Linked DNA regions of Mus musculus. The protein of the gene in region 1 interacts with the protein of each later gene in a pairwise test. Links are inferred from orthologs where the notes say so. Each region holds a gene or a part of one and is shown in the gene's direction. Other genes may lie near its edges.

The links.
Region 2: the proteins of Sptan1 (region 1) and Cep63 interact in a two-hybrid assay, tested with the Homo sapiens proteins (2 studies listed by BioGRID and IntAct). The link is inferred for Mus musculus from reciprocal best matches to the Homo sapiens genes SPTAN1 and CEP63.
Region 3: the proteins of Sptan1 (region 1) and Evl interact in binary tests that used the Homo sapiens proteins (3 or more experiments, as listed by UniProt). The link is inferred for Mus musculus from reciprocal best matches to the Homo sapiens genes SPTAN1 and EVL.
Region 4: the proteins of Sptan1 (region 1) and Exoc1 interact in a two-hybrid assay, tested with the Homo sapiens proteins (2 studies listed by BioGRID and IntAct). The link is inferred for Mus musculus from reciprocal best matches to the Homo sapiens genes SPTAN1 and EXOC1.

What each region holds. Positions count from the first base shown.
Region 1 is NC_000068.7:29,961,795-29,970,128, forward strand, and holds the start of Sptan1 (spectrin alpha chain, non-erythrocytic 1), read left to right. Parts: upstream 1-3,765; 5' UTR 3,766-3,991; intron 3,992-6,981; exon of another isoform or gene 6,982-6,999; coding exon of another isoform or gene 7,000-7,032; intron 7,033-8,334. UniProt on the Homo sapiens protein: Fodrin, which seems to be involved in secretion, interacts with calmodulin in a calcium-dependent manner and is thus candidate for the calcium-dependent movement of the cytoskeleton at the membrane.
Region 2 is NC_000075.6:102,596,288-102,603,845, reverse strand, and holds part of Cep63 (centrosomal protein of 63 kDa), read left to right. Parts: intron 1-770; coding exon 771-1,004; intron 1,005-1,287; exon of another isoform or gene 1,288-1,297; coding exon 1,298-1,428; intron 1,429-2,391; coding exon 2,392-2,529; intron 2,530-5,562; coding exon 5,563-5,677; intron 5,678-7,526; coding exon 7,527-7,558. UniProt on the Homo sapiens protein: Required for normal spindle assembly.
Region 3 is NC_000078.6:108,671,742-108,679,299, forward strand, and holds part of Evl (ena/VASP-like protein), read left to right. Parts: intron 1-1,547; coding exon 1,548-1,611; intron 1,612-2,665; coding exon 2,666-2,724; intron 2,725-3,655; coding exon 3,656-3,885; intron 3,886-4,360; coding exon 4,361-4,482; intron 4,483-6,358; exon of another isoform or gene 6,359-7,416; intron 7,417-7,558. UniProt on the Homo sapiens protein: Ena/VASP proteins are actin-associated proteins involved in a range of processes dependent on cytoskeleton remodeling and cell polarity such as axon guidance and lamellipodial and filopodial dynamics in migrating cells.
Region 4 is NC_000071.6:76,526,542-76,534,880, forward strand, and holds the start of Exoc1 (exocyst complex component 1), read left to right. Parts: upstream 1-2,769; 5' UTR 2,770-2,921; intron 2,922-6,213; 5' UTR 6,214-6,223; coding exon 6,224-6,347; intron 6,348-8,339.

The sequences.
Region 1 (8,334 bases):
TCCCAGCACTCAGGAGGCAGGGACAGGTGGATTTCTGAGTTCGAGGCCAGCCTGGTCTACAAAGTAAGTTCCAGGACAGCCAAGGCTATACAGAGAAACCCCGTCTTGAAAAATCAACAAGAAACAAAACAAGAGTCCTTGTTCTTGCAGGGGACCCAGGTTTAGTTTCCAGCACCCTTGAGTTTCACAACTGTAATTCCAGTTTCAGAAGATCCAATGCAGGGTTGGAGAGATGCCTCAGAGGTTAGGAGCACTGACTGCTCTTCCAGAGGTCCTGAGTTCAATTCCCAGCAACCACATGGTAGCTCACAACCATCTGTAATGGGATCTATTCTGGTGTCTCTGAGGAGAGCAACAGTGTACTCATATAAATAAAACAAATCTTTAGAAAAGGAAAGAAAGATCCAGTGCTCTTTTCTGGCCTCTAAGGACACTAGGCATGAACATAGTGTAAGAAAATCACTCATACACATAAAACTTTTTTTTTTCTTTTAAATCGAGAGGTTGGAAAAGCAAGCATATACTTTGGACTGCTCTGAGGCAGATGGTTGGCCTTGATCTATAATGCTGGAAATGGAACCTGGGCTTCTATAAGAAGTACATGAGCTCCTACAAGAGCTGCTGGCCACGTCCCAGCTAGTCCTGTGCTTTCGAAGCAGGTAAACTGGTCCATGGAGAAAAGCAGTAAGAAACAGTGCCAAGCGATGGTAAACTCTACAAGCCTTTCTAGGCTCTGGAATGACTATGTCATCGTTAGGCCAGGCTCTAGATAATGAAAAGCTTAGCAGGAAAATCTGGGTATGGTGGTACCACCTCCTGCAATCATAACACTGAAGCAGCTGAAGCAGGAGGATTGCCATGAACTCCAGGATAGACTAGGCCACAGCTGGCACCTTATCTTAAACAAAAAAATTACATGCCGTTAATCCCAGTACTCCAGGATGGCTCTGGGTTAAGAAGGGTACATGCCACCAAGCCTGATGACCTGCGTTTGAACCCCAGAATCCACAAGGAGAACCAACTTGTGCATGTTGCCCTCTGACCTTCATATAACACACATGAATAAATGTAGTAAATGTTTTAGGAAATAGTCTACATGGTAGAATGTGTTCAGAAGTGCCCAACCCAGACTGCCGGAACTTTCTCCTCCAAAATGGAAACTGGTCCTTTCCCCCTTTCCCCCATCCAGTACTGTTATCTCTGAGACCCAGCAGTTGCAGATTGTAAGGTATGCAGAATCATTTAATATTGGTCCTTCTGTCTGGCTCGTTTCACTTAGCATAATGCCCTCAGGTTTTACATAGTCACTATGTTTGGAAGAGTTGTGTGACTGGCTTGCCAGCTCTGCTCCTGCAGCTCTGGGGAAAGTAATTTTCTGGGCATGATCCTTCCCAATCAGCTTTACAGGGAGGAAAAAATAATACAAGCACTTGACTTTGTAGAGAGAGTGCAGGATAGCGGTAGAGAAGTGGACAGGTAACAATTAGCATATTTCCCCAACCAACAACTGACCTTTAGAACAGGGGACCAGGGCTAGCTAGAGTTTTAAGTCTAGGGGCTGCAGTAATCAAGAGAAGCTTAGAATTCTCTTGGATTCTCTGCTTGTAAGGAGGCCAGTAGAGGTGTGGCCAAGAACGTGGAGCGGAACCGCGCTGTCACACTGGGCTGTGCTTGCTTTATTTTGTCCCTGTGAAGTTCTCATTAAAAACAAGGTTATTATCTGCAATATCCCTTCCCCATGCCCACACATAATAGTGTGAGGCATGCGCTGAAATTGGTGGGAGGGAGGGGAGCAACAATAGAAACCATGAGCAATGGCTTTTTGATGGCTCATTTCTCCTGCCAGATGAGAACAGGGTGGGTGCCTGTGGGTGCCGTTATCCTGACCATTCTTCCGATCAGAAAATGGACCAACCAGCAGGATTTTAGTTTCCCAGTCAGAAGAGAGCTCCCTTTAGGTCTTGGATTTGTTTGGCATTTGGGAGAAACAGTAGAACCCCTATTTTCAGTATGGAGCCCAGCCCAGAGAGCCCTTGCCACCGAAGTATCAGGTCTTAGACATTGTGGAGAGTTAAGTTATACTAGCCATTTTGTACCCAGTGCTGAACATCTGAGTTTTAAATTTGCTGCAGCTGACTGAAGAGGTGGTTACTATGGTCACCATCAGCTGTTTTCAGAAATGCACAGCATTTCTGCATGCCTTTCATCCCACCACTCAGGAGAAAGAGGCAGGGGGATCTCTGTGTTTGAGGCCTGCCTGGTCTACAGAGCAAGTTTCACGACAGCCAAAACTACAAAGGGAAATCCTGTCTGGAAAAACAAAAAAGAAAAGGAAAAAAAGCCCAGTCCAGGAAGTAGCTCCTCAACCAGTTTTCTCTGTAAAGAAGATGGCATTAAATGCTGTCCTCCAAGCACCTGCCTTTTGGATCTCAGGAGTCTGTGAAGCTGCCGCTGAGCTGTGGCCACTCCCTTTTTATTTTATTTTTTTTATTTTTTAAATCTCTCCTCTCCAAGGAAAATGACTAGGAATGTTCTTTCACCATCATGCCTACAGTCAGAGTAGCTTAGAAGTCACCTTGCAGATCCTAGGCTCAGCAGAAACCAAAGTGCAGAGGACCAGGAAGCTTGGGACTGGGCCTCATCCCAGTTCTGGAGCAATGCCCAGTTCTTTATAATTATTTAAATAGGAGGGTGGCTTGGTAACCAGGAGGCTGATGCCTGGCAGAGCTGCCTGACTACACAGGAATGAGCTGGGTGCTACTCCAATGGTTGCCACACAGCTGTCACCCAAAATGGAGGAAGGGAAAGAGCTTTTGCAGTAGGGGAGCCTGGCTACAGAGTTTAGTTCAGAGCCAGGCCCTGAAAAGGGTTGTGTATAAGAAAAAAATTACAGAAATTGTGTTTTCCTTTTCTCAGAAGTCTAGCACCCACTTGCTTAACGCTTGTGTTCAAATCTTAGGTTCTCTGATTGCTGCTTCGTGCTTGACCTGGGGAGAGAGCTACCTTCTATGTCATCAGGATGCTAATTTGTAAAATGGGAAAGGCAACATCTACCTTGTAAAATAAGAGCAGAGATTAAAAGCCCAAAGCACGTGCGGTGTCAGCTAAACAGCAAAGTTCAATTAATACTGGGGAAAGAAATAGTAATGTCGTTTATCAACTGGGACGAATACACTCTGTCTACTGGCAACAGGAAGATTGCTGAAGAATTCTCCATATCCTGAAATAAAGTCTTACGCCACAAATCAGTCTTTTTTTTTTTTTTTTTTTTCCCTAACCGGGATTTTTTTCCCTACCACCTCCTCAAACACGGATCCTTATATCATCTTTTTTTTTTTTTTTTGGCCCCATCCCCCACCAGAACAGGCAGACTTGGGTCTTCCAGAGCCAAGCCTCCCCCAGAAAAAGTGCAAAGAGGGAGCCAACATTCCAGTGAGATCATCCGAAAGGGACAGGGCGTCTTTCCGGCCAGGGCAGCAACATCCCCAGCCTGACTGCGGCGGCGGGCCCCGCCCTGCCCTTCGCCGCAGTCTCGGAAGGGCTCCCAGGGCGGAGGGGTGCGGCACAGATTCTCTGCAGGGCGGACTGGGCGGGGCAGGATTGCTCGGGTCCCACGCCGCGGCGGGCGGCTGCGGCGGCTGCTCCGCTCTGTGCCGCGCCCCGCACCCCTCGCAAGCGCGTTCCCGTCCTTTACCCCAACCCCCACCACCCCGCCCCGCAGCTTCGGCTCCTTCCGGACGCGCTCGGTCCTCTCCGTACTGCAGTGGAGCAGCGAGTCCCGCCTCTCGCGTCGCCAACCGGGGCACTTCCCTCACGCTCGCGCTCGGCCGCCGCGGGGGCGCGCGCGGCCGCTTATAAAAGCCACAGTGCGCGCGCGCCGCCGTCACTATCCGCTGCGGAGCGAACGGCGTGAGGCAGGGGCCGCGGCGGCGCATCTTTTTCCTCAGCAGCCCTCAGCGCGGCGACCCACGCCCCTCACCCCCAGGAGCCGGTAAGAAAGGGCGGTGGGCGGGAAGGGAAAGGCCGCGGGAGGCCGAGCACCGGAGCGATGTGGACAGATGAGCTGCGGAGCCTCGCGGGCGGCTCCGTGGGCCCCCGCCGCCGCCTTTTGTGGCGCGTGGGCTGCGGGGCGCGGCAGAGCCGGGCGGCGACCTGGAGTGTCACGGTCCGCCGAAGGTACGCGAAGGCCCCTTCCTGCGCCCGCGGCCCCACCCGTCGCGGCAGGTGGCGGGGGGTGGTCCTCGGCAGCACCCACCCGCGAGCGCCCCCGCACCGCCCGTCGCCCGCAACTGCGGCGCTCGCACCTCTCGGAGCCTCCTGTCTGCAGTGAAGGGCTCGCTGACCTTAATTTCATCCTGTGTGGCGGTCCCGGGCCCTCCGGCCGCAGAAAGGCCTCCTTTTTCTTTCCTGGTAATAAATGTCTTTTCTCTCCAGTGCCGACCTGCTCCAGTATAATAGTTAGATGCGGTGCCGCTTGGTTGGAGGAGATCCAAATCCAATAAATAACTTAATAGCTTACAGCTCTTTTCTTTCTATATAAGACATTAAGTCGAAGGCTTCTGGGTTTTTTGTTTTTTGGGGGTTTTTTTTTGGTCAAATTCTACTGCTGTGCCAGTGTGAAGTGATAGAACAGTCTTTTGTCTGAAGCTATCCCTGCAAATTTGATGAAATGCTTCTCCAGGAAAAATTTGATTTTAAAATCCTCTCAGGTACTAGAATTACACACACACATATGCACACACGCGCGCGCACACACACAAACACACACACACACACACACATCAAGAGGGCTTCTATGTAAGTAAGGGTCGGTGTGTTTTAAATGAATGTCCCAGAAAGGGTGAAATCATTTCGAACTGCTACACTTCATAGGGCTTTGTTGACTTTCATCTCTCTGTTTCTGTCTCTGTCCCTCTCTCTACAGGCTCTTACAGTGTAACTCCAGCTGGCCTGGAATTTGCTGAATAGCTCAGGCCGGCCTCAAACTCAGGATTTTCCTGCCTCAGCCTCTCAGATAATCAGGTTTTTCTATATAGAGACCCAAAACATTTTAAGTCGTTTGTTCTTTACCCTTGGTATTTTCAAAAAGCTAATTATTATGACTGTCAAGGAATACAAGAGAAACCAACCATATGAAGTATTTTAATAATGTGTTCAGAAATTGCGTTGTCATAGCAATTGGACTTAAGTAAAACAGAATGTATCAAAGATGGCAGGGTGGGGGTGTCTTGTAGCCAGGAAACAAGAGCTTAAGAATAGCACTAGCAACAGTGAGTTGCATGAAGCCATTGAGCCAAGGTTCCCACTCATACTAAATGTCTTAGATTTTAAAGGTCAAATTGAAGTCAAAGTTGGAAAAAAAAAATGTGCTGCAGTAGATCCCCTGCAGGAAATTAACAATAAGCCTTTTTTAGTAACTGGGTCATTAATTCCTCAAAGGGACCCTCAAAGTGTGTTGACTGTTATCCAGGGACCTAGATAAAAAGGATGGATTTCAAAGTTTGCCCTATACCAGACAAATGTGAAACAGTTCTTATGATAAACCCAAGGCCTGGAGACATATAGATATGCAATTCTATTCCCTACTTTTGAGACAAGATCTTGACCCGTAGCTCATCCTGAATCTATGTAGTTGGGTATAGCTGGTCTTGAACTCATTGCTCCTGCCAACAAGCCTGGCTGCCACCACCCTGGACTTTTACCCCTCTTAAAAGAAAGGAGGCCTTGTTATATGTCTCAGATCCTGGACTCAAGCTTATTTCTCCACCCTTAGCTTCCAAAGTAGCTGGACCTATGGCAGGCAGGAGCTGCTGCAGCCGGCTTATTCTCTGGTAGTGCCTTTAGCCTTGGCTGTATGCTTTGTAGTAATCTAATACTTGGAGAAATCTGATGTCAAGTAATCTAATGAACAGGTTTAAGCAGGGAGAGTCATATTAAGTGTATCTTTTAGTTCCCTGGATTATAATTTTCTATTATTTTTTTCTTCTCTGCTTTCATCTCAAAGGTGGGGCCTCTACAGATACTGAGAAATGGCTCTTAGGAATAGCTACCCGAGTCTGGTCTGTGGAATGTGCACTAAGGACAGAGGCTCTGAGGGCAGCCTGCCTTTGTTACCAGTGCCCACTGCCTATTGGAGAACTCCAGTCTATGCCTCTTGGTCTGCTGCAGCTCGTCAGCTGTGGCCTTACAGGGGAATGCCATGATCTGATGGCTAATGCTTATTCCAGGAATGCAGAGGTCCGCAGAGCTGGCCAGAGAGCCATCTGGCTGGAACAGCCGTGCAGCGAGTGGCACCTTTCACATCTCTTACACATGCTGCTTACACTTGTTTTGAGTAGGAAATAATTGTATTTTGTAAAGGTACTGCACCAGCAAACTAGCCCCAAGGTCAATCTTTGTTGTTTGAATTCCTTACTACACTTAGGCTTTCATGAAATTATCTTTTTACTTAATTACTTTGACAATGCAAATGCCTAAAGCCCCCAAGATCCCTATTTCATCAGAATGTAGATGAGAAGAGGCATATTTATTTTTAAAAGAACATTCAGTATTAAAAATTAATTCTTGGAGCCAGGCGTAATGGCGCACACCTTTAATCCCAGCACTCAGGAGGCAGAGGCAGGGGTATTTCTGATTTCGAGGTCAGCCTGGTCTACAGAGTGAGTTCCAGGACAGCCAGGGCTACACAGAGAAACCCTGTCTCGGAAAAAAAAAAAATTAATTCTTGGGCAAACTGGGGTCTGAGAGAGAGCATGAATTGGCCAAGGCAGCACATTTAGGTGATGGTGATTGTCCATTCCCAGAAGCCTGGGCTCCCTGATTACAGCTCAGATTTCTGGTGGGATTCTGATGCTGGGGCAGTGCCGTTTGATTTTTACCTGTTTTCATGTGTTTTCACAGATTTGTTCTCTTCACTTTAAAGTGATTCTATCCCAGTTGCCCTTAGAAGTGTGTTGTCTTGCTCTTCCCCTTCCTCTTTAGAGTCCACATTCCTTCAACATGTTGTCATCGTTTCGTAAGCGCAGAGCTCAGGTATTTGACCAGCATGCAGAAAATGTGTTGCCTTTTGGGTTTTTGCCTGGCTTGCAGTGAAGACACATTGGTGTCCAAGAGGTTGAATGATCCCCAGAAGGGGAAGCCCTGCCTACACGACCTTTCTGTTAAGTAGAAAGGTTGGTGACAGTCTGGTTGGGATTGCTGGCCACATGATCAGAAGTGTTGTATGTTTACTGTTTTCTACCTTTCTGTTTCTCCTTAAGGCATGAGTATATTGGTCTCTTATTGCCATCCTGGTGTTTGCATGTGATGTTTGCTGATTTGTAATTGATGGCTGCTTGGTTCCTAAGAACCAAGGGAGTAAGTTACTTTAGATATTCAGAAAAATTACCCGAAAACATATAGTGTGAATGGTGTTTTCCAGTTGGACAAGTGCTGTCACCTGGGTTTATCTCCTTTCCCATTGACTTAGCTCTACCATAATCCCTGAGAATGAAATGGAACTCAGTATCTTTCTTTAAAACCAAAACTCTGGTAGGGTGTGGTGCTGCACACCTCTGATCTTGAGAGGCAGAGACCAGCATCTCTGAAGGAGCCTGGTCTGAGTTCCAGGACAGCCAGGGATACACAAAAAACCCTGTCTTGAAAAACAGAACACACATACCCCCACACACAAAACAACATTCTTGTATGTTTTATGTGTAGTGTTTCAATGTTTGCTAACATTGAGCCTTTTTCAAAAAAAAAAAAAAGAAAGAAAGAAAGGAAGAAAGAAAGAAAGAAAACAACTGCTTAAAATTGTCCTGATACTTTTAAAGTGGGATGTAGAAATTTAAGGTTTTTCTAATGATTATAGCTCATAAATCCAAGGCAGGCCCCTTTTATAAACGAGACCAGTTAATTATATAAGGTTTATAACCTTTTGTTGTCTTGAATCTTAAGATATTGCACTTATAAACCCTTTTCATCTGAATTTTGCAGGTTGAAAGGTAAGTACCAGCAAGATAGTATGTGGGGAGCATAAGAAGTAAGTTGCCCAGCATTGCTCTGCATTTCTGGGGTTTGATGCAATGCAGTATGGATCTCTTGCTTTCTTGATGCTTAAGTCGTGCTCACCTCTGCAGAATTGCACTAACAAGTGGAACTGAATTAATCAACTTGAAGGCTGACGTGTAGAGCCAAGATCTTGATGGAATGTAGTTGAAGCAAAAGGATTGACTGTTTTCATTCATGGTGCCAAAAGCCTTGTTTATATACTGTCTACTGCTCTGCTTGCTCTCCTATCTGCTACTAAAACCTGTATCTCAGCTGGTTGCCAGTTGGTTTGTTTGATCTGAG
Region 2 (7,558 bases), on another chromosome or scaffold:
CTCCTACCTTCAACCAATCTCTACATTTACTTATTGTGCAGAGGATTCTGTATAAGATTTCCTCTTGTTTTTGAAAGTCTTCTGCCAATTGCATGCATAGTGGTTAGCGTTGACCCTGTCCTGAATCTTCTTTCACGTGCCATTCTAGGGATCTGGTGGAAAACAAATTGCCTCTACTCTGAGGCCTTGAGCTCTAATTTACACAAAATTATTTGTCTGTATCTTTGCCTCTCCCTTTTTGTTTCCGTTTTTTTTTTTTTTTTTTTTTTTTTCATCTTTGTGTCACCATATTGTAAGGCAAAAGAGTTTGGTCCTCAGTTATGTACAGCAGAATCTTTAAATCTGTAGTAGATGGATTCCACAGAGATATTTCTGCTTGAATTTCTAAAATACAAGTGGGTGCCTTTCCTTTAGGAAATGTTTAAAATAAGGGAAGTTTAACTTTACAAATGATTTATGTCCATTTTTAATGTATAGATAAAAAACCAGTCTGGATACTGAATTAAAACTTGAAAAAAACAGAATGTGAGAAGCCAAAAACACTTCAGCTGGCATGCAGAGCCAAAAGGTTAGACACTGTACTCCACGGGTCCTGAGCCAGTTGCTGAAGTGGCTTTATTTGAATAGACTTCAGTAGGATATGCCACTAAAAGAAAATGTCCAAAACCTGCTGATAGCCCAGCCTTCCTAGGAGTGAATCTTTTCTTTCCTCAGTGAATACAATTATTGATTATTCTTCTATCAACTCTCTTTTCCCTATATGTTTTTAGGCTCAGCTTGCCAACCGGAAACAGAAATTAGAGTCCGTGGAACTATCTAGCCAGTCAGAAATTCAACACCTGAACAGTAAGCTTGAGCGGGCTAAGGACACCATCTGTGCCAATGAGCTGGAAATAGAGCGCCTTAACATAAGGGTCAACGACCTGATGGGAACCAATATGACTATCCTGCAGGACCATCGGCAGAAGGAGGAGAAACTAAGGGAATCTGAGAAGTTACTAGAGGTGTGTGTTAGAATGAGTAACTTAGGGAGGTATATGCATGCCCTAGGACTAGGTCCTGGATGCCCAGCTTCCTTCTTGGGCTGAGGCTGGTGGCTCAGCTCCTGATAGCTGTATTCATACTGTCCTTGTCATAAAACTTGCAGTCAGCCTTCCTGGTTGCTTTTCTCATGAAGTAGAAGCATTGAAATATTATTTGACTTTTTTTCTGGAGTATTTTGCAGTCTCTGCAGGAAAAAGAGAGAGCTAAAGGAAAGTTGTAATAATATCTGTCTTTTTTCTTGAGTGTTTTGCAGGCTCTGCAGGAAGAACAGAAAGAGTTGAAGGCAAGTCTTCAATCTCAAGAAACCTTCATCCTTGAGGCAAAAATGCAGGAGAAACTGCAAACGACATTAAAGGCAGTTGGCACTCAGCAGTCCGTAGAAAGGTCTGTTTGAACCGTAAATGTTAGTCTGCTGGCCTGTTTGACAGTTTGGCATTGAATGCTGATTTTAATATCGAATATTTTCATTTCTGTGTTTGATCATCTTGTCTTATTTGACTTTAATTTATGAGTTAGATTTTTATTGTCTTAAAATTTGTATGGATGGTTTTGTCTCCTTTTCATTTAAGTCTCTAAGATTCTGAGGATCATAAGGTTGGAAACTCCTTATCTCTCTTTGTTAGACTTGGAGGGCCTCTCTGCCTTAGAAGACTAAGGTATGGTGGAAAGTAGTTGCTTGCCATCAGTAACAGCCTGTCACTTAGCTAGCCCTTTGGGAACTGACTTTATTGTTATCATTATTATTGTATTATTATTACTACTACTACTATGTTTTGAAATAGGATTTTATGCATTACCCCAGGCTACCTTCAAAATTACTGTGCAGTTGAGGATGACCTTGAACTCCTCCTGATCCTCCTACCTTTGCCTCCTAAGTGCTGGGATTATCAGTGTTGTGACCCCACCCAGTCTCAGGGCTTCCTGTATGCCCTGGGAATTCTCTACCAACTAAGCTATAAATCTCCCGCCCTGGGCTATTGCTAGGGCAGGGTTATAGTAAAAAATAATAGAGTAAATGAGCTTCCTTTTGTGTAAGTCAGGCATGCTTCTGTTCTTGCCAGACTGTCTTGTAAAGTTTTTCTGATAGAAGGATTCAAGTGTTAACAAAATGGTTTTGCTGTTTTATGCGGCTTTTCCCCTTGAAACACACCCCAAACCCTAGTAAAGATTAAATTGCTGCTGACCCTGGATTGTTCTCCAGGTATTCCCCCTCCTCCCCAAAGCAGGCTACAAACTGACCAGTTCTAAGGAGCTTAGTTAAAAGAATAGTTGGGACAACAGCCTGGCTGGCATTGTTTGTTTGCCAGGATAAGAGAGAGACCTGTTTCCCCCTCCTTCTGTTCTTAGGCCTCTGGAGGACTGTCAGAAGGAAAGGAAGTACAGCTCTCCAGGGCAAGGAGTCTTGGATAATGTGCTCTCCCAGCTGGACTTCAGCCACAGCAGTGAAGAACTCCTGCAGGCAGAGGTGACGCGTCTTGAAGGCAGGTAGATAATTAGCTACACATTGAAAATTTGAAGTTGTTAGGATGAACTTTGATTCTCACATTGATTGAGTAAAACAGTGCATTGGTGAAATGAAGTTGTTTTTTCTCTAGCATTCACAAATGGCCTCACTCCCTAGTTCATTGAAAATACAGAAGACACTGTCCTAACCTTCTGCCAGTTGGCCTTCATCTGAGCCTGTGCTCTGTGGACGTGTCTGAGGCTGACTTGCTCCTGCTGTGACGTCCTCTTTAGGGCTTTCTTCAGAATGGTTTATATGGACAGAAAGTATTCTGGGAGCTTTTTCCATTTTGAAAACAATTAAACCCCTTTAAACCATCAGAATATTTCCTCTTTCTCTGTTCTTCAGAGTCAAAATCTTTTTTTAAAAAAATTATTTATTTATCTTTTTTTATATGAATACACTGTAGCTGTCTTCAGACACACACCAGAAGTGTGTGCATTGAATCGGATCCCATTAGAGGTGGTTGTGAGCCACCATGTGGTTGCTGGGAATCGTACTGCTGACCTTTGGAAGAGCAGACCGTGCTCTTAACCACTGAGCCATCTCACCAGCCCTAGAATCAAATTTTTGAAGACTTGTGTATTCTGATAATTCCCACTTCACCCTTTGCCTTTTAGGCCCCATTCAGTTCAGCTTTCTTCTGTATTCCCTCACTGAAACTGTTCTTGGAGAAGATACAGTGGGCATGTCTTTCTTCCTTCATTCTTGTTTATGGTGTGATTTAGATTTTCTTGGCTTTGAATTGAATGCTAGCTAATGGCAAATCTATAGTATTTGGTAGCATAGTATATTCTAGCATAGCATGCATAGCATGGCATAGTGTGATAGGTAGTGCTTTTTGTTTTATTTTATTTTTTGCCATAGTTACAAACTTTATTTTGCTTGTCACATTTGTAAACTTTTTTATTGGGAAGAGTTTGATATTTTGTTTTAAACTCATTATAATTGCTTGTATACTAATTTTTTTGGTGTGGGTAAAAGATAAAATATTTACATAAGCTCTTTGCCTTTAGGCAAACATAACAAGAAGAAGTGCCACTTTACACTTTCTAGCTTGTCTTGATACATTGCTCCTCAGTGTGCTGTGTTTCGTGCAGCCCTCTGCTGTAGGCCTTTTAGAGTGTGTGGGGCACTTGTGATCTCTACTGAGGTGTGTGTGTATATGTGCTTTATTTAGACTGAGCCAAACAAAACTTACTATTATTACTACTATTACTAGTATTGATATCATTTGTTTTTTTGAGACAGTTTTTTTTCTGTGTAGCCTTAGCTGTCCTAGAACTGCTTTATGTAGACCATGGTGGTCTCGAACTTAGAGATTGGCCTGCCTTTGCCTCCCAAATGCTGGGATTAAAGGTGTACTCCACCCACCATGAGTGCTAAATAAAGATTATTAGTCTTTTGATATTGGAACAAAAAAATTTGTTTTTAATCATAGTTGTCATCTCCCCCTCCCCCGACCTCCAGTTGGTTTTCTGATAATCTTCATGGACTTCTTGTCAGGCTCAGAAGTTGCGCCTCTGGTTTGACTCCAGCACAGCACTGCACAGCACTGCACTGACCACCTTAGCCCCTCAGGTCCTGCTTTTCCCATGCATGGCTAGGACAATGTGATCTCTGATCTTACTCCTCTGCTAGTCTCAGTGTTTAGCACATTGTAACCATATACTAGTAGTAAATAGATAAATAAAAATTCTAGAATTTCTGGAAATAAAATTAGAATGAATAAATAACAGTATTCAGTAAGAATGGCTTCAGTTTTTTTCTTTGAAAAATCTAGTGGACAAAAAGACTGTTCTAAACAGTGTGGTGTTTAGTTTGAACAGCACCTAAACCAGGAAGGGCAGGGCTTTTGTTATACTACAAAGATGATATCTCTATTTTATTTTATTTTTGTTTCATGTGCATTGGTGTTTTGCCTCCATGTATATCTGTGTGAGGGTATCAGAAACCCTGGAACTGGAATTATAGACAGTTATGAGCTGCCATGTGGGTGCTGGGAATTGAAGCTGGGTCCTCTGGAGGAGAAACCAGTGCTCTTCACTGCTGAGCCATCTCTTCAGCTCCCAAAGATGATATTTTTGAATAATAACTTATCTGGCAAATTTGCTATGTTTGTGAAATAATATAGTACTAAGCATTTGTAGAATAATTTAGAGGTGTATGCTGTAGCACGTGAGGGCTAATGGCTAAGTTTGGCAGGCATAAGAAGTAAAATATTTTAACCATAGAGTTTTCAGTTTCAGAGATAAAATACTCATTTTAAAGGACTTGGGGAATTAAATGAGCATATTTAAAGTAGATAATTTCTAGAAAAATTTGCCTTCAAGTTGTAAAAATTGAATTATTTAAGGTGAACAGGGGAGTAAGGACTGGAGTGACTGTAATTAGGCCAGTGCCAGTTTGGTTCCTGAGAAGCTAATGGCCATCATGGGCTAGGGGAGGAGGTGCTTTGTGGTGAAGGGACGATTGCATTGCTACAAAGAGGCAGAGCACTGGAGTGAGAGGCATGCTGCCTCCGTGGCGCTAAGTCTCAGAAAGATTGGTCTTGAGTAAGAACAATGAGTTGGGGACTCTTCAAAGAGTTCTTGCGGTTCTGTATAGTGTGGTTCTGTATAGTGTGGAGTGTGTCTGTGTGTTGCTAAGGGTGATGAAGTGTGAGTCTGTTGTGACAGTTCTTGGTGGCTTTCCCTCTCTCATAGAGCTAGAGAAACCCATACAGCTAGAGCAAAACTGTTAGTAAAGTGGCTGGTGTCTTTATAATTCTGTAGCCAGTAAAGTTTAAATCAGGGGGCGGGAGTGGAGGAAAACACGAAAGACAAAACTACCTCAGTGTTGAGATGGGTTTGCTGCATCTAGTGATAGGGGAATTGCAAATGACTTCTCGTGACGGGTATGAGGTTTAAGGTGTTAGTAGGAGGTATCTTGGGCATCAAGAGGGTACACTTAGATAATCCATCTTATGGGTTTCAGGAATTTTACTTATATATGGTTGTATTTCTGCCATACAGTTTAGAATCTGTGAGTGCAACATGCAAACAGCTGAGCCAAGAACTAATGGAAAAATACGAAGAGCTGAAGAGGATGGAAGGGCATAACAATGAGTACCGGACAGAGATAAAGAAGGTGAGAGCCTCCGTCAGAGCCTGGGCTCAGAGCTGGGCAGGAGGTGCTCAGTGAGGGAAATGTGTTGGGTGGTCAGTGGAAGAGTTTGCTGGAACTCAGTGGGAGGAGGAGGGATATGAGAGGATGATAGGGATGGATGATCAAAGGATACTGTGCATGTGGGGAACTTGTGAAATATGCTCATGATGATTTCTAAACAATTATATTGCTTATTAAAAAAGACATTATATTACCTGTAATTTCCTTATTGGCTTCCTTTGTGCTATGAAGTAGTTAATGTCCTCATTGGCTGTTGGTACTCTAGAGCCTTTTTTTAAGGGGTCCTGTCCCCAGTGTGCTGGTGTACTCTAATCCTAGCTTTGGGAGGTGTAGACAGGAGATCAGAGCCAGCCTGGGTTAGATGAGACTGTCTCAAAATACCAAAAATAAATTAATTTTTTTAGAGGCTTTATTTAGAGGATTAGTCTTGTTTTATAGCCCAGGTTGGCCTTAAACTCATAATCCTCTGGTCTTTTGAATTCTAAATATTGAGATTAGAGACATCTGTTACCATACTTGGCTTAATTTGTGTTTTTCACTACTTTGAGATTATTGCTAGTTCCTGTGCATGTGTGTGTATGGTGCACACATGTATGTGTATGTAGAGCCCAGAAGTAGATATTAAGTAGCTGCTTATTGCTCTCTCCCCACACACTCACCTGCCTCAGCAGCTCTAACTGAACTCAGTATTCATTGGCTGACTAGCTTAGCTGGCCATTGAACTGCAGAATCAACCTTTATCTGCTGTCCCTCTCCCCATGCTGGGATTATAGATGTATGCAACCTTCCAGGATGAATTTTATGTGGGGGCTAGGAATCTAGACTAAGTCCTTCTGCTCCTGCTGCAGGTATGTTATAGACTGAGCTGTCTTCCTCAAAGGCTCTTGCCCCTTTCTACCTCTTATCTTTCTGTTAGTTCTCTCCTGAGAAACAGAAAACTAGATAAAGAAACAAACAAAAACCCCAAACAAACAAACAAATTTTAATTTTTAGCTGTGAAAAGAATGAAAGTCTTAGAGACTACATAAATTAGACATAGACTTTGCCATTGACCCCAGTGTTTGAGTAACACATGTTTTTCTGAGACCTAATGCATGATTTTGAATTTAAATACCAGACTTTCACAGTAGTTATAGAAGTTGATAACTTGTAGTTGATGATTTTCTGTATATCTAATCTAGGAAAAATTTCATGTCTTAAGGTAAGATAGACATTACCTTATTTTATCAATTTTGTGTATATTTTTCTTTGTTAAATTCTGTACATTTTAAACATTTACTTGTCAGTTTCATACATATATATGTACTGTATATTATATCATAGTCATCTCCAGTGCCCTCTTTTATTCCCTTCTATGATCTCCCTTTCCTATCTTGTCTTCTTCCTTCTTTCTCTTTGTCTTTCTTTTAGGCCTACATTGTTTAGGGTTGCTTGCATGAACGTTGGCAGGGAGTTATCTACTGGAGCAATTTACCAGTAACTACACTATTGAAGAAAATGACAACCCTGCCCTGGCAGCCATTAACCAGGTGTCTTCTCTCTGAATACCTTGTTCTTTAGGGACATGCTAGGCCAGTGCTCGCTCTACCATTGAGCTACATCTCTAAACCTTGTTTGTTGAGAAGGGGTCTTCCTGGAAGTTCAATCTGGCCTTGCAATCACTGGCAGATCAGGCTGCTCTCAATCCTGGGGTCTTTCTGTCTCTGCCTCTACCTCCTAAGTGTCAGAGTTACTGCTGTGTAGATTTATATGCCTGAATCCTAAATACTTTCTCTGAACTTTTGGTGTTTTCTTTTGTGCCTCTCTATAGTTGAAGGAACAGATTCTGCAGGCTGATCAGAC
Region 3 (7,558 bases), on another chromosome or scaffold:
TCCTGCAGCAAGGTCACGCCTCCTAAACCTCCCCCAACACCACCTCTAACTGGTGACCAGGTGTTCACGTAGCCAGAGCTGTGGAGGACATTTCTCATTTAAACCTCCACAGCCTTGGCCAGGCTAAGAGCAGAGTCCCAGAATGTTGGGCTGAGGCATTGTGAAACCTGCCTTCACCAGAATGAGCAAGGCAGAGGTCAAGCAACTCCTTTCTGCTATGCAGACACAAGTCTGCACCTGAATGCTCCGTCCAGGGATGGGGCAGCTTGGGGCACTATAGGTGGCACGTGAGTCCACCATCTCACTCTTCAAGCCAGTCTGACTGACACCATGCTGAAACTGGACTTGAGAATGAGACAGGTGCTGTGGCAGGGGCTTTGTCTTGCTCTGCTTCTTGCACCTTTGAGCAAGTTACCTAACTTCCTGGGCCTGGCTTCCTTGGTGGTCCCAAGTCCTTCCTCATGGGCACTCTCCTAGCTGTGTGAGAATTACAGTTGAAATCTAGGTTGAGTAAAAGTTGTCTGGGAATTGCTCTGATCAGGCTCCCATAGGAAATAACATTTTTTTTTTTTTTTTTTTTTTTTTTTGGTTTTTCGAGACAGGGTTTCTCTGTATAGCCCTGGCTGTCCTGGAACTCACTCTGTAGACCAGGCTGGCCTCGAACTCAGAAATCCGCCTGCCTCTGCCTCCCAAGTGCTGGGATTAAAGGCGTGCGCCACCACGCCCGGCTAGGAAATAACATTTTCTGTACAGAAGAAGAGGAAGACCACTAAGACCCTGGGCTTCTGGGAAGTGAGTGGCTAAAGAGACTACCTGCTGTCTGAGGTGTAGATTCACGCTCACTTCACCCAAAAGTGGAAACAAAGCTGTTTGCACAAGCCACTGGTTACACTTACAAAGGGACGATGCGCACTGGCCCTCGGGAATGATCAGCTCTTTCTTGGGTTGGAGCTGCAGCCTGGATTTCTCTTTAAATATGGGTCCCAGCACTAGCCCTCCTGAGAACAGGAGGTTCAGCAGTGGGACTCTATCCTTTCAGGTCCAAAGTGGGTATGGCCTAGGAGCTTTCATGGTGGCCCAGAACAAAGGGAGCCGTGCAGGGTTGCACTGCCTCTTCCCACAGCCCCAGACTCCCAGTGTGAGTAACAGGTCCAAGGAGGGTCCACCCCACACACGTGTAGTTCCTAGGTTCCATCTGGCCTTGATCGTCACCAGCTGAAGGTATTAGTCCTTCACTCATGATTCTTAACATACCAGGGTTGGGGTTGAGGAGACAGTGGCAAGTGGGCAGACACAGCAGGTGCTGTTTAAACAAAAGCAGAGTGGTGTGAGCAGAACTTAGTTTCCACTGTGCTTCAGAGGGAGAGCCACAGGAAACAGAGAGAGATAAAGGTGTGCAGGTGCTTCACGGGTGTGAGAGCCCACTGTTAGAGGCAGGCAGGATCTCTCCTCTGGGCTCTGGAGGGTGGAGAGGGTGCCATTACAGTTCTGTGTTGGGGCCCTTCTTCCCTCCTCTGACCTTTCCACTCTGCATCTCTTCCCTACAGGCCCCTCCACACAGCGTCAGGTGCAGAATGGCCCCTCTCCTGAGGAGATGGACATCCAGAGAAGGTAACCCCACGTCCCACAGATGTCTGACTGAAAGCTCCCCAGTAGAGCTGAGGCCACTAACAACAGGGGCAACAGAGGATGCCTGCACATGCCACTGCAGACTAAGGGGACAGGTCCATCGCCCACAGACTCATACTTCCCTAAACTCCTTCTGAAGCTTGCCTAGTAACCCTGTGGTTCCAGGGAGCCCTCTAAAGGACTAAAATGAGGCATAGCTTCCATTTCTCCTGCCACCACAGTGGCTCCAAACAGCCAGACAAGCCCATTGGCCCACTCACGCCACTGAGTGAATTCAGTTGGCCAGAGGGTCACACAGGTTTCTCTGAGGTATTTACTACTCAGTGTGTCCAGCTCATCAGTCCTCTTCCATCTGTCTCTGTCTCTGTTGGAGGCAGCCCAGGGCTACAGGAAGGTTAGCTCAGCCAGTGACGTGCTTGCAGGGCGCTGAGTAGAGCTCCAGCACTCTTTTGTTTTGTTTTGTTTTGTTTTCCTTAAAAAGTTAGATGTGGCATCAGCCACTTGAATACCAGAGTTTAGGAGGCAAAGGCAAACAGACAAACCCTGGTGTTCATTGGCCAGCCAGCCTTGCCTACTTGCTAAGTTCTAGATCAATTAGAGACCCTTTCTGAAAAGAAAAGGAAAGGAAAGGAAAGGAAAGGAAAGGAAAGGAAAGGAAAGGAAAGGAAAGGAAAGGAAAGGAAAGGAAAGAAAGCCGGGCATGGTGGCGCACGCCTTTAATCCCAGTACTTAGGAGGCAGAGGCAGGCGGATTTCTGAGTTCGAGGCCAGCCTGGTCTACAGAGTGAGTTCCAGGACAGCCAGGGCTACACAGAGAAACCCTGTCTCGAAAAACCAAAAAAAAAAAAAAAAAAAAAAAAAAAGAAAAGAAAAGAGAAGAAAGTGGGTGGTGCCTATGACAGCACTCAGGGTAATCCTTTTTCCTCCACACAAACAAAGCCCAGTGTTATGGGTATGAGAAGTACCACAGCAGCAGCTTTTAAATGTGGGAGCGTGGGCACAGAGAGCTCAAGGTGTCTGCTGTGATTGCTTTCCAGACAAGTAATGGAGCAGCAGCACCGCCAGGAGTCTCTGGAGAGGAGAATCTCGGCCACAGGTAGGGGAGACTCCCTCCTCCAGCCCTGTCCGAGGCCCTGACCCCCCAGTGCATCCTCATGGCAAACCACCTTACCTGCTTTTCCAACACCCTGTCCTCTCAGCTGCTGCAGCACCTCCCTCCCCTCCGCTGCCCAGGCCTCTGAACATGGCTTGAGCAAGTCTAGTTCTACCAGCATGTCTCCCTCCCATACGTCCCATCCTCTTGGCTCAGCACTACTTCCTTCACTGTCCTGACATCACCTCTCCTGTGTGTTCCCAGCTCTGTAGGGCAGTCATCCAAGAGCTTCAGCTCCGACAGGCTTCCTGTGCATACTTCTAGTAGAGCGAGCCTTGCAGCACAAGTCTGTGTTCTCCTCTGTGATTTGTTGGCTGACCTTACTAGACCAAAAGCACCCTGAGGGTCTACTCCCCTCAGTGTATGGCACAGTGTCTGATTCACTGGAGGTGCCTGACTAGGTGCATAGTGGAGGCCAGCCCTCGGTGGTTCCTTGACCCAAATTCCTGGTCATCTCTGGACCCACAGTTCCTTACCTCTTAGAGACCCTAGGATCCAAGTACAAGTCCCACTTACATCTTGAGACCAACTTCAGTCAGTACCTAAGATGCAGCCAAGTACTTATAATGGAAACCGGCACTGCCAGGAACTCCTCACACACACTGGAGAGGCAGGAGCAGAGCAAGAGGAGCTCTGCTGTGCTCAAGGGTGTTAAGTGACTATATGCCAGTGTAGCCAGCACCCAATGCTGGGAGATTGGAATAGGAAGGGATTGTAATGGGGCTGGGTTCTGTAGGGCCTTCCTGAGACAAACTCTTCTGCACCTCATCTCTGATGAGCAAGCTGCCCTCCAATCTTTTGAAGGACCCAGAATAAAAACAGTAGCTGGACACCCCTAGGTGTTGGAGACTGACTCCTCCCCTTTGCTTTTCAGGGCCCATTCTCCCCCCTGGGCATCCCTCATCGGCAGCCAGCACCACTCTCTCCTGTAGTGGACCTCCACCCCCGCCTCCACCCCCAGTTCCACCTCCACCCACAGGGTCTACTCCCCCACCCCCACCCCCACTGCCAGCTGGAGGAGCCCAGGGGACCAACCATGATGAGAGCTCTGCATCAGGACTGGCTGCTGCTCTGGCGGGAGCCAAGCTAAGGAGGGTGCAGCGGGTAAGAGTTCCTGTCAGGGTAGGCAGGCCAGCCACCCTTTACGTATCACTCTCATCTCTCACCCTGTCCTCACCTGTTCATCAGTGAGACACTGAGCAAAACTCTCTTCCCCTGGATCAGCTCCCAGCTGCCTTAGTTAATAAGTACTGAATCTGCCCTTGCTTTTCCCGTGGAATGTGCTTCCAGTTGATTCAGCTCCCCACCCCGGGTGCACATGCTCCTGGAAAGATCTGCAGATAATATAAGTCTGCTCATAAAAGAATGCTCTGATGCATATCTCTGGCTTGAAAGTTGCTTCCCTCCTCCCTGTAACTAACTGGCTTTGGCAAGGACTCATGCCTGTGGGCCTACCAAGCCTGTCCCTGAGCCTCCCTAGATTCTGGTTTTCCGTGGACTTGAGAGTGTTAAACTAGCAGCCTCACTCCTAGGATCTTTCTGGGTCAGCATCTGACACACACTTCTTCCTTACCCTCAGCCAGAAGATGCATCTGGAGGCTCCAGTCCTAGTGGGACTTCAAAGTCCGATGCCAACCGGGCAAGCAGTGGGGGAGGTGGAGGAGGCCTCATGGAAGAAATGAACAAGCTGCTGGCTAAGAGGTGAGTACAGTGCCTCCTAGAGGAAGCCACTGTCCTCAGCTGAATGTCATTGCTAAGACACATTTAGGGGGCCTAGAACAGCACCCGCTGCACTTGAGAGACAAGCAAGGGGCTGGAGAGATGGCTCAGCAGTTAAGAGCACTGACTGCTCTTCCAGAAGTCCAAGTTCAATTCCCAGCAACCACATGGTGGCTCACGACCATCTGTAATGAGATCTGATGCCCTCTAATAATGTGTCTAAAGACAGCGACAGTGTACTCACATACATGAAATAAATAAATTACAAAAAAAAAAAAATTAAAAAAAAAGAAGAAAAAGAAACTGAGAGACAAACAAATACAACACAGTCCCAGAGTTTTAGAGCACTGCCTACAGACACCCCACTGCCCCCAACACTGCTTCTGTAGGCAGCGTTAGCCTTCCCAGACCTCCTAAACAGTCTAGGCAGACATGAAGCAGCCTTCACAGAACAGTATGTTAAGGCCTGCAAGAGGAAGAGACGGGTCTCACAGAAGAGGCTCTACCTGTCCTCTGCTTAAAGAAGTGCAGTTCCATGGGCTGAGGGTGGCAGAGGTGCCAGCCGGGCAGTGTTCAAGCACAGGCTGAGAAGCCGGCACATGGAAGAGTGGAGGAGGCCAGCTGGAGAGGAGGCTGAAAGAGTGCCTCACTGCCCAGCTGGATCTCAGAGCTGAATAGGGCTTCAGATAACAGGAGAAAACATTTTAGAAAAGAAAATGTTTGTACCCTCCTTCAATCTAAGACCAGTGAGCTTAACAACTTGGCTTGGATGATGTATCCCAAAACACAGGATCTCTAAAAACAGGAAAAGGTTAGAGTTGCCAGGAGCCAAGCAGACGCCAGGTGCTGGGGGGGTCGGAGGTGGGGTCCAGGCACTAAAAAAGCAAATGTGCCTTGCACAGTCTGCAAGGAACAACCAAGCAAGTCTTTGAAATCTGCTTCATGAGATTAGCAGTCCTGCAGCTTTTTCTCCTGCTTCTCTTCTAGCAGGGCTCCACCTACAGTGGAGAAGTCACAGGTGAGCACCTCCTGAGGGCTGCTGTGCTGGCACAGGCACATACGTGCCTCTCAGGAGGCACTCACCAGTGTAGACTGCAGTGGCTTGGTCTGTATTGTCTGTGTGATGGAACACATGCCCGATCACATGTTAGGCAAATGACTACCTCTGAGTAGTCCGCACAGGCGTCCCTCTGATTTTAAGAGATGGAATGTGGCTTCTGGGCATCAGTGGGCATCATGGGGTAAAGCGACTAGGCAGACCAGTGAAGAAACCTTTGTCACCCAGGAAGAGGTGATGACAGCTGCCGTGGAATAGGCAAAGGTTAAGCTAGGCCAGAGTGGGAAGAAATAGAGAGAGAGAATTGATGAACTTACTGGTCCTAGTCTGTGGGAGGAATAATTTGTCAGAGGCCAGTTTCCACAGGTCAGGGGAAACTGAGGCAGGTGTAGAATCAGTGATTGATCATTCAGCAGACTTTTCTCTGAGGGCGGAAACTTGATTTACTGGAGCCAGTGAGAAACTCTTTGGAGCTGGCAAAAAAAGGAGGAGAAGATTCACACACACACATACACAGACACACATATACACACATACACACACACATAAACACACACTCACACAGACACACATATACACACATACACACACACATAAACACATACAGACACACATACACAGAAATACAAACACATAAACACACACACATACACAGAGATACAAACACACAGACACCACACACATACATATACACACACACACACATATATATATGTATATGTATACATATATATATAACAACTATTTTTTCTTCCACAATTTATATATCCTAACAAAATCTTTCAAATGGTACAAAATGAATCACAATGTGATTACCTTCTATTTTTCATTAAGTGATCCATTACAGTGAGTATTCATAGAAAAACATATTTACCAATACTCTCACATGAATAAACTTTTCTTAGAACAGGTTAAACAGTACAGGTTTAAAACAACAACAACAGATTATTCCCAAGAACCCACATGCATTCATAACTAAGCAACTTGTTATAGATTAACAAAATAAAAGCAAGCAAAATAATTTTCTCAGCCAGTTTCTCTTACTGGCAGGCTGCAATTTGCAGTTACAAAGAAAGAATTATTATTTATCTTTAAAAATAATGATAAAATCTTAAGAGAATCATAAATCTAAACTTTTATGTAAAAAACAGTCATTTTTATTTTAAGTCCCCAGGGTGCATCTACTCATTAACGATTTTTTTCATTAAGTAACATCAGGAAGCTAGGGCAAAGGTGAGTACAAGAAATTAGTCATCACCTTGCTCGCCAGCCCAGCCTCGGGAAGGAAGAGGTGCATCAGCTAGGACCAGTCAGGCTACCATTGTTTCTTGTTCCCTGTCCTCAAAAAAATTCCCTCACTCAACTATTAATAGTTTTACTTTCTGACCTTCAAATTGTTCCCCAAGGCCACTAACAATCTATATCTCTAAATTCCTTCTAAGGGTGGTGGTTGAATCGTTTATCTGCTCCAGTATCGATGCTTGACAAAGCTCCATTATTATTACTGTGAGTGGCAGTGACACTGCCCAGTGAGGCTGGACGCCCCTCAAAGTTTCCTGCACTCATGGACTGTGAGGCAGCCACAGCAGCTGCGCCGAGGCACGGGCACAGCCATCGTGCTTGTGCTAGCTGGCTATGGTGGACCAGTCCATGAGTTCTAAAGCTATTTTGCTGTTCCTCTTTCTTGCCCCATCCTGAGACAGCTTGTGTGAACCCTGCCACAGGCAGCCGGAGACAGGTCCTCAGCACATACAGGCTCACTTCACTCCAGGTGGGCTGCTCACCTCAGGTTATGAGAGGCCTCACAGTTGAAGATGCACTGGAGCACATTGCTGGGAAGTAGAGGCCTGTATCTACACCTGGGAGGAAGCAGATGCAGGTGACATGAGACCTGGATGCACCAATAAAGTTAGAGTCCTGTAGAAGATTCATGCGTAAGAGGAAAATGCAGGAGTTGAGTATAGAAGAGCCCTGCAGCTCTCCTGGGTGCTTTTAGCTCCT
Region 4 (8,339 bases), on another chromosome or scaffold:
CAACAGATCTGAAGGCTTGGGATCTATGATGGCTAGAAGCACCTTGTGAAATCTCCAGAAAACCACAGTAAGAGTTGTCACACAGGTCCTCACTGCTCTGCAAGACATGCTTTCTGAAGCAGGGAACAATTCTCTACTGGGAAAACAAGGGTCATCTCTCATGAGGTGGATATATTATTAGTTCCACCAGTTCCCCGGTGCAGTTTTAGAAACAACCTGTTGAAGTATGAAAATGGAATAGAAAAGTCGACCAGGTTCAGGAAACACACATAATTTCAAGAATGGATAGTTCAGACTCCCCCCCCATCATTTACTTTCAAGACATCATTTTGGTATCTCTTCTGCAACTCACTTCCCTAGCCACATAGGAGTTCTTTATGTCTACCAAATACATAATGAAGGATTTGATCTGCCTCATAGATAGGTTGACACATCACACTAACTGGTCAGTAACATTGAATTCCTAGTGCATGTCACTCTCACTTGGGGATAGCTCTTAGGAATACTCAGTATACCCAGGGAATCTTTCCTTTCAGCAGAGCTTGTATCAACACACTTTATTATTCAATTTTATATAAAGGAAGAAGTGGCCTGAAGTAAGATGTTTTTATCTCTCATTAATTCAGCCAATATCCACAATCATCAACACTATAGCATCACCAATCATCATTACTCCAATCTACAAATCCTTTCTCAGCACCCTCAGGCTGAAGGCAGAACTACAGAATCCACGGACACTCCTGGATCACTCAGTGTCCCATTGCTGGGAAGAGACACCGTGACCACAGCAACTCTCATAAAGGAAGACATTTAGCTGGAACTTGCTTACAGGTTGAGAGGTTTAGCCCATCGCCATCATGTCTGGGCATCATTTTGAAGTGATGTGTGTAGAGATTTAAAACCCAACTGAGGGCATGAGCAGATGAGTATAGATATAATATAATTTAATATAAATATTATATAATCATTATTATTATTGCTGTTCAGTTATCCAAACAGAAATATCAGAGGCAGAGAAGTGGATACAAAAATCTGGAGTTCAGGAGTTCAGAAGAGTCTAGCCTTCTGGAATACCACTCACTTCTCAACTGTGAGGAGAGCTGTAACATAGGTACAGGGGGTTGGGGGGAAGAACAAAATGGAAGACCAAATGACAACAAAAACACCCAAATGGAATTGTCAGCTAAGATGTCCAAGGCAAACATTCTGGAGCTCAGGAGGAAACACCAGGGAAGTCTATCCAAATATATAGAACTAGATCCTGTGAGAGTCATCTCAAGTAACCCCGACTAGAAGCTGATCATTGTAGCAACAAACATGTCCCTATTCATTATTTCTCCTAGGTCTCCCAAAATTTTATCTTAAGATAAACGGTGCAAATACTGTGCACAGCTCATCTGTCATATTCTTAAGAAATTCATGCCGAGCGGTGGTGGTGCACACCTTTAATCCCAGCACTTGGGAGGAAGAGGCAGGTGGATTTCTGAGTTCGAGGCCAGCTTGGTCTACAAAGTGAGCTCCAGGACAGCCAGGGCTACACAGAGAAACCCTGTCTCGAAAAACAAAACAACAACAACAACAAAAAATTCATCCTATGTGCCTAGTCCTGCAGTGACTTGATGTCACAGGGTGGGTTGGTATCCAAGAAGGTCTCCACCCCACCCCTTCTCAGAAGAGAAGGGAAGCAGAGAATGAGGGAGAGGCTGGGAAGGAGGGTGAGAATTGGAAGGAGGGGTAGGCTAAGATCCACATGCAAAGTAAATAAATAAATGGAAAAAAAACAGCAAAGAAAAAAAGAAGAAAGAAAACCATCCTGGTAGAGTATGTTATCCTAACTTCGCAATCACCTTTTCTAGTCCTACCTCATTGCGAACTCCTTCAGTATAAAAAAATTGAATGGCTTTTTTTAATTTTTATTTTTTAACCTGGAAATCAAAATTTGCAGCACTCAATCCCTGCCAGGGATGCGGCCTAAATGAATCACTTGTCTTATAGCTCGAACTCTCGGCATCATTTATGTTTCTCACACTGAAACAAGCAAGCATCACCTTTAAAACAAAGATTCTATTTCAGTATCTGATGTGAGGTGGCATGGGTGAAGTTTCTAAAAAAACACCCAAGAAGAAGGTCTGTGCAGTCAGGGTAGAGTATGAAGTGGGTAAATGACCAAAGCTGTTTATGGGAATTAAGTGTCCAGAACTTAAGGGTACTAGTGACATCTATCCCAGAGAATCTGACTTAACTCACTAAAGTTCTTCCAAGAATCTAGTTAGCAGGGTTTTACATATGCACAGGAGAGAACATTTAATGCGCTCTCAAATGAGTTGCTACAAATATTAGAATGGGTACGTCTACAAAAAGGAAACATCACCATTATCAACTCCTCAAATCAGCCTATGCTAACAGTTCTCAACATTCCTAATGCTGCAACCTTTTAATACCTTTCCTCATGTTGCAGTGGGTCCCAACTATTAAATTATTTAATTTCTACTTTAAAACTGTAATTTTGCTACTGTTATCAATTGTAATGCAAATATCTGATATATTGGATATCTGCTATATGACCACTATGAAGGAAGGGGTCGTTTGACCCGCAGGTTGAGAATCACTGGCCTATGTGCTTGCAAGCCCCGCCCCTGTCTTTTCCACGCCCACAGTCCGCCTCTGCCCCATCCATCAAAGCGCTGTTCCGCCTCCTCCAAGTCCATTGGCCAATCTGTTTTTCCTCTACTGTCTCCATTTCCGGCTCCACAGGGTCAACTTCCGGTGCAGAGAGACACGTGACCGGATACGGGAAGTGGCGGGTTCTGGCCGCTGCTTTTCCCTGTTCAATGAAAAGTGCTTCAAAGCTGCTATTGCTGCCGGCGCCCTTCCTGAGTCCGTCTTGGAGCACCAACCTCGGCCGGCCGGCTGGCCTCGCGGTAAGCTTCCGGCCGGGGACCTGCGGTCTTGGAGGTGGTAGCCTAAGTGGAGGCAGTGTTGCATCCGCGCCGGGTCGGCCACTCCCCAGTGACCCGGCCCACCCACCCTGCTCCACTTCGGGGCTGCAGAACCCGGGCTGCGTCCTTCCTTAGCCGGTGCTGTCCGGGGCTCTGGGAAAAGGCGGAGCCGGGAGGCAGCCAAGTCTCTGTCCACAGTTCCGCCCATCCGGGACAGATTTCATTTTTGTCCTACTAGCGTGGCCTGGAAGAGAAAGACGTGACCTGGGCTTCTGCTGGTCCGAATCAATATAACATGTCCTTATAAATCTTCTAAGTGCATTGCCCAGCCTCTGAACAGTTTTTTTTTCTGGATGACATGTCTCCGAGTTGAGATGTCACTGCAGTACATGGGCCCAACCCACTAAGGCACTAGCATGGACACACAGTGTAACGATGGCCCTATTAAGCTGAAGGAAGTATGTATGTACACAATGAACCGAGGTTAGCTGCCTCTGTAACGGGCAGCCTTGAGGTTTTAGAAGGCGAAGATCTAAAGAGAACCCAGAATATGGGCGTGGTTTTTAGACCTGGGAAATAGTTGTGAAGGCCACTATTAATAATACTGGCATAATGTAAAGTTCAGTATAAACACTGGAGAATTCATCTCTAGATCCAAAGAAGACTGACTATCACAATGCTACGTCAACCCGTTCATGTCTTAAAGATTCTCCATTATACCCCAGAGTGCTGCCTGGCACTTAGTGAATAGCAATATTTATATTAGCAATATAATATAGCAATATAGTAGCAATGCTTATGTCTAATTCCTTCATGAGTTATGACCAGCCCTCTGCTGTTTTTACCGTTTACCATGTACTATGGTGAATATTGGCCATTGCTAATGGTTCTTTTGGCCAGCTTTTACTATTGCAATCAAGCAGGTTACGCCAAGAGCTTGTTAGTGAGTACCCAACACACAAACCTGTGATAGAGCACCCCTCCTCCTCCTACTACTCAAGAGATGGCTGTGGAGATCTAGGAGATGACACTCATGTCCCCATTAGATAGCAAGCATTTGCCTCGTAAATACAGTAAGGGCTCTATACATTTACATGAAAAGAGCCGTGTGGATTGAGACTTTCATTGAGTCAACTAAATACAAATGGAGAAATGTAGGTTTGAATAAGGAAAAGATAGTGGTATGCCCTGCATGGGAAAGTGCTTAAGCAAAGAAAGAACAGAGTGTTCTGAGTGCAAGGCATGTCTTGAGAAAGCTGGGTTGCTGTTGACCAGGTGTGTGGTAGAATGAGAACTGCTTTAAAGTTATTTACTAGTTTTTCAGGGAACTTGTAGAAGCCTAAAGAAAAAAGAAAGAGATAACGGGTGCTATTACTTAAAGGCAGTAAGTCTTGGTGGCTGTGTTGGCAGCAAGTTGTGGGGGAGAGGGATAGGATATGTAGATGAAGAAGTTACAGGATATGCTCACAGATTTCACGTTGGCATGGAGGAAGCAATCAATTACAGTAGAGTTTGAATCTGGGTATTCTCTTACAGATGCGAAAGTTGGAAAGAGGTAACTCTGAGGGAGCGATCCCTGGTCTGTTATTGAGTGGGACAGTATTCCCTAAAATGTTTACTGAGTGTGCACTGTGTGCCTCTCGGCAAATGCTAGGAATATAAAGATGGATAAGATAAGGTTCTTGCCAACAGAGAACTACTTTTCGGAGTAGTAGAGGCTAGACGGCGCTAGCTATAAAACACAGGTTGGAAGAGCTGTAGTCAGCAGAGGTAAGATGGGGACAGAAGAGGAGTTTTTCTAGGAGAGAAGGCTTCAAAGAAGAGGCAGTGTGTTATCAGAATCCTTGAGGGCAAGTTGGAATTTGCAGTGACAAGAATTTGAGAAAAAGGGAAACAGTGAACAAAGCCCAGAGACAGTTTCCATAGCGTAAGATGGAGTAGAGCTTTAATGTCACATCCGGGCCCTAGGACATATTAAGGGGCATTGTACTGGCTGGGTTTGGGTGTCATCTTGACACAGGCTGGAGTTATCACAGAGAAAGGAGCTTCAGTTGGGGAAATGCCTCCGTGAGATCCAGCTGTAAGGCATTTTCTCAATTAGTGATCAAGGATGGGAGGGCCCATTGTGGGTGGTGCCATCCCTGGGCTGGTAGTCTTGGGTTCTATAAGAAGGTAAGCTAAGCAAGCCAGTAAGTAACATCCCTCCATGGCCTCTGCATCAGCTCCTGCTTCCGGACTTGCTTGAGTTCCAGTCCTGACTTCCTTTCGTGATCAACAGCAATTTGGAAGTATAAGCTGAATAAACCCTTTCCTCCCCAACTTGCTTCTTTGTCTGATGTTTGTGCAGGAAGAGAACCCCTGAGTAATACAGGCGTGCTGGCTAGTTTTAGGTCATTGTGGCACAAGCTAGAGTCATCTGAAAGGGAACCTCAGTTGAGAAGATGCCTCCAAAAAGATCTAGCTGAAGGGCATTTTTAAAGTTAGTGTATGATGGGGGCTGGCTCATAATGGTAGTTGCATGCTTGACTTGTAGAAGAAAGTGCCGGACTGTTTTCTAAAGCCTCCGAACCATTTGTGATCCTCCCAGCTGTGTGGGAGTTTCCTTCATCAGTGCTGCTGTGTGTCCATTGGGATTTTAGCTCTCCCAACAGTTGAAAGCAGTAGCTATCTCACTGTGGATTTCAGTCGCATTTCCCAGGTGGATAATGGTATGGAATATTTGGGGTTTCTGGTATGCATCTTTGCAAAAACCCAAGGGCAACTGCACATGGTGTTCTTCAGTGTACCATTCATACCCCTTTTCTTGGACATGGTGTCTCACCAGATTGGCATTCCACCAATGGGTGAAGCTGTCTGGTCAGTGAACTCCAGGGATCTGCCTGTCTCTGCTTCCCCACTGCTTGCTATGTGAGCTCTAGAAATTAAACAAGATTGGACTTGTGTCCTCCACGTACTAGGAAACACTTTACCAACAGAGCTGTTTCCTCAGCTCTGTAATGAATAATTTTTAGTATATTTATTGGTTATTTGTACTTGTGTGTGTGTGCTTGCATATTTGTATATATGGGTAGTATCTTGTGTGTGTGTGTGTGTGTGTGTGTGTATATATATATATACTGGTTTCTCTGATTTTATTTCCAAACTTGAAGCCCCATGCTTTTATGTTGTAGATGATTAATATATTTATGTATTAAGAATGTATCGTTCAAGTCATAAATGGAACACTTTATGAGGGAGGGCAGTGGTTTTGAGAATTATTCTAAATGTTTTTCAGCTGAGAAAAGATGACAGCAATCAAGCATGCGCTGCAGAGAGATATCTTCACACCAAATGATGAACGCCTGCTGAGCATCGTGAATGTCTGCAAAGCTGGCAAGAAGAAGAAGAACTGTTTTCTGTGTGCCACAGGTAGGTGGTTATTAAGCAAAAATATGTACTTGATACCTTCCTTAGGTCATACTCTCATTGTTTCTATAACTGGGAGAGTTATTGGGCTGATAAGTTAATTTTAATTGTTAATATTGATTGCTGGATGCTGTAAGAGAATTTTTATAGTGTATGTCTAAGGTGGCTGACAAGGGAAAAGGAGGACTCCGGGTGCGCAGTGTAGGGTGACAACAGCTCTTCTTTACCCCATTCCTTTCTGCTCTCCAGTGGTCAGTGTCTGGGATCCTGCATCTTACCACATTCCCCATGTGTAATTTCCATTTACTTGTCTTTAAACGTTTAATAAATTGAATTAAAATTCCTTGTGACCCTTCCCATTCAGCAGTAGATTCATGAGAATTTCGTTTTATTCTGGAGTTTTTATTGTTTTGTTTTTGAGACATGATTTCACTCTGTATTTCCAGCTGGCCTGGAGTTTATATTGCTCCACCCGCCTACGCAGTCTGCTAGCACAGCTGGCCATGAGTTGAATCTGTTCTTACACAAGGCTCTAACACCATCATAGTCACTGCCATGGCAAGCTCCGCTGTGAGTGTCCCATGGTCCCCATACCCACCCCACCAGGGTGAGCAGTAGGTTTGTGCCTGAGCTTTGCTGTTTAAACAACTCGTCTGTGAATGTGTTTGTGCTTGTCTTGTGCTTACACACCAAAATTATTTTAAGGCAGATTCTTGGATGTGGATTCTGCTCTAATATGCAGTTATTTTTAAAAGGGATGCTTTTCATTCCCACAGCAGTGTGGTTGGTTACCTTGTGTTCTCTACACCCTAATCAACAGTTGCTTCTGACAGACTAGTTGTCAGGATGGCAGCGTGACATAGTATCTGCCTGTGGTTTTGAAATGCACTTTCCTGATTAATGATGGGGTTGAGTGTCCTCTGTGAAGTGACTGGCCGTTTACTTGAGTAATGTATGGTTTCCTATTGGATTGATGGTCATTACCCAGATTTGTATAGTTGTTCTTAATTATGATTATCTGGGTAGGTATTATAAGATAGATCTATTAGCTGCATAGATATTTCTATTATGTGGTTGTATACTTTCTGTTTTGTGGCTTATCTTTACACTTTTTGTGGTTACTCTTAATGAAATTTAATTATCATTAAATAAAATTACTTTGATGCTTTATGGTTTTTACTGCATTATTTTGTAAAGGTTTTGATTCACTTGTGTCTTAGAGAGTGTTGTGTATTTGTATCTGTCTGTCTGTCTGTGTGTGAATGAATGAGCACATGTTTGTATTTCACGATTTTTTTTCTTAAATCTCATTTTGTTTTACTTTGTTCTTTACTCTTTCATCTTAATTTTAGAATCAACTTCTTAAGTTCCAGATTCTGTTGTGTTTTGATTGGGATTGTTTTTAAGCTATCTTTTAAGTTGTAGGGAACTTGCATTTTTATTAATGATGATTATGCCCATAAACATGTTTATTTTCTGCTTTTATAAGCCTTGCTGTTTTCTTTAAAAGTTTCTTCCTTTGGTCTGTGTGTTGTTACCAGTTATAATGTAACTTGATGAAACAAAATGGTACGTTTTATAAATGCCCTGTTTGCCAGTATACTGGTTTAAAATTTTGCATTCATGTTCCTCATTTATGTGTAGTTTTCTTCTCGATACCTTCGGCTGGTTAGCCATAGTTATTAAATAAGCCAGTACATGCCCCTGGTGTCCTCACTAGAATAGTTGTGTGTTTGGAGTTATTCTCTTCTTGCAAACTTGGCAGGAGAAGCAGGTAGCAGTGCTGGACTAGTGTGGGAGGTGGGGTGACGGCACAGTTTTGCCCAGCAAGTGTAGTTTAGTGCGTATCTTCCCCAAATATTCTTTAGTCCAGTGGTTCTCAACCTTCCTAGTGCTGCTACCCTTTAACACAGTTCCTCATGCTGTGGTGACCCCAAACATAACATTTTTGTTGCTGCTTCATAGCTGTAATTTTGTTTTCTGTAATATCTGTTT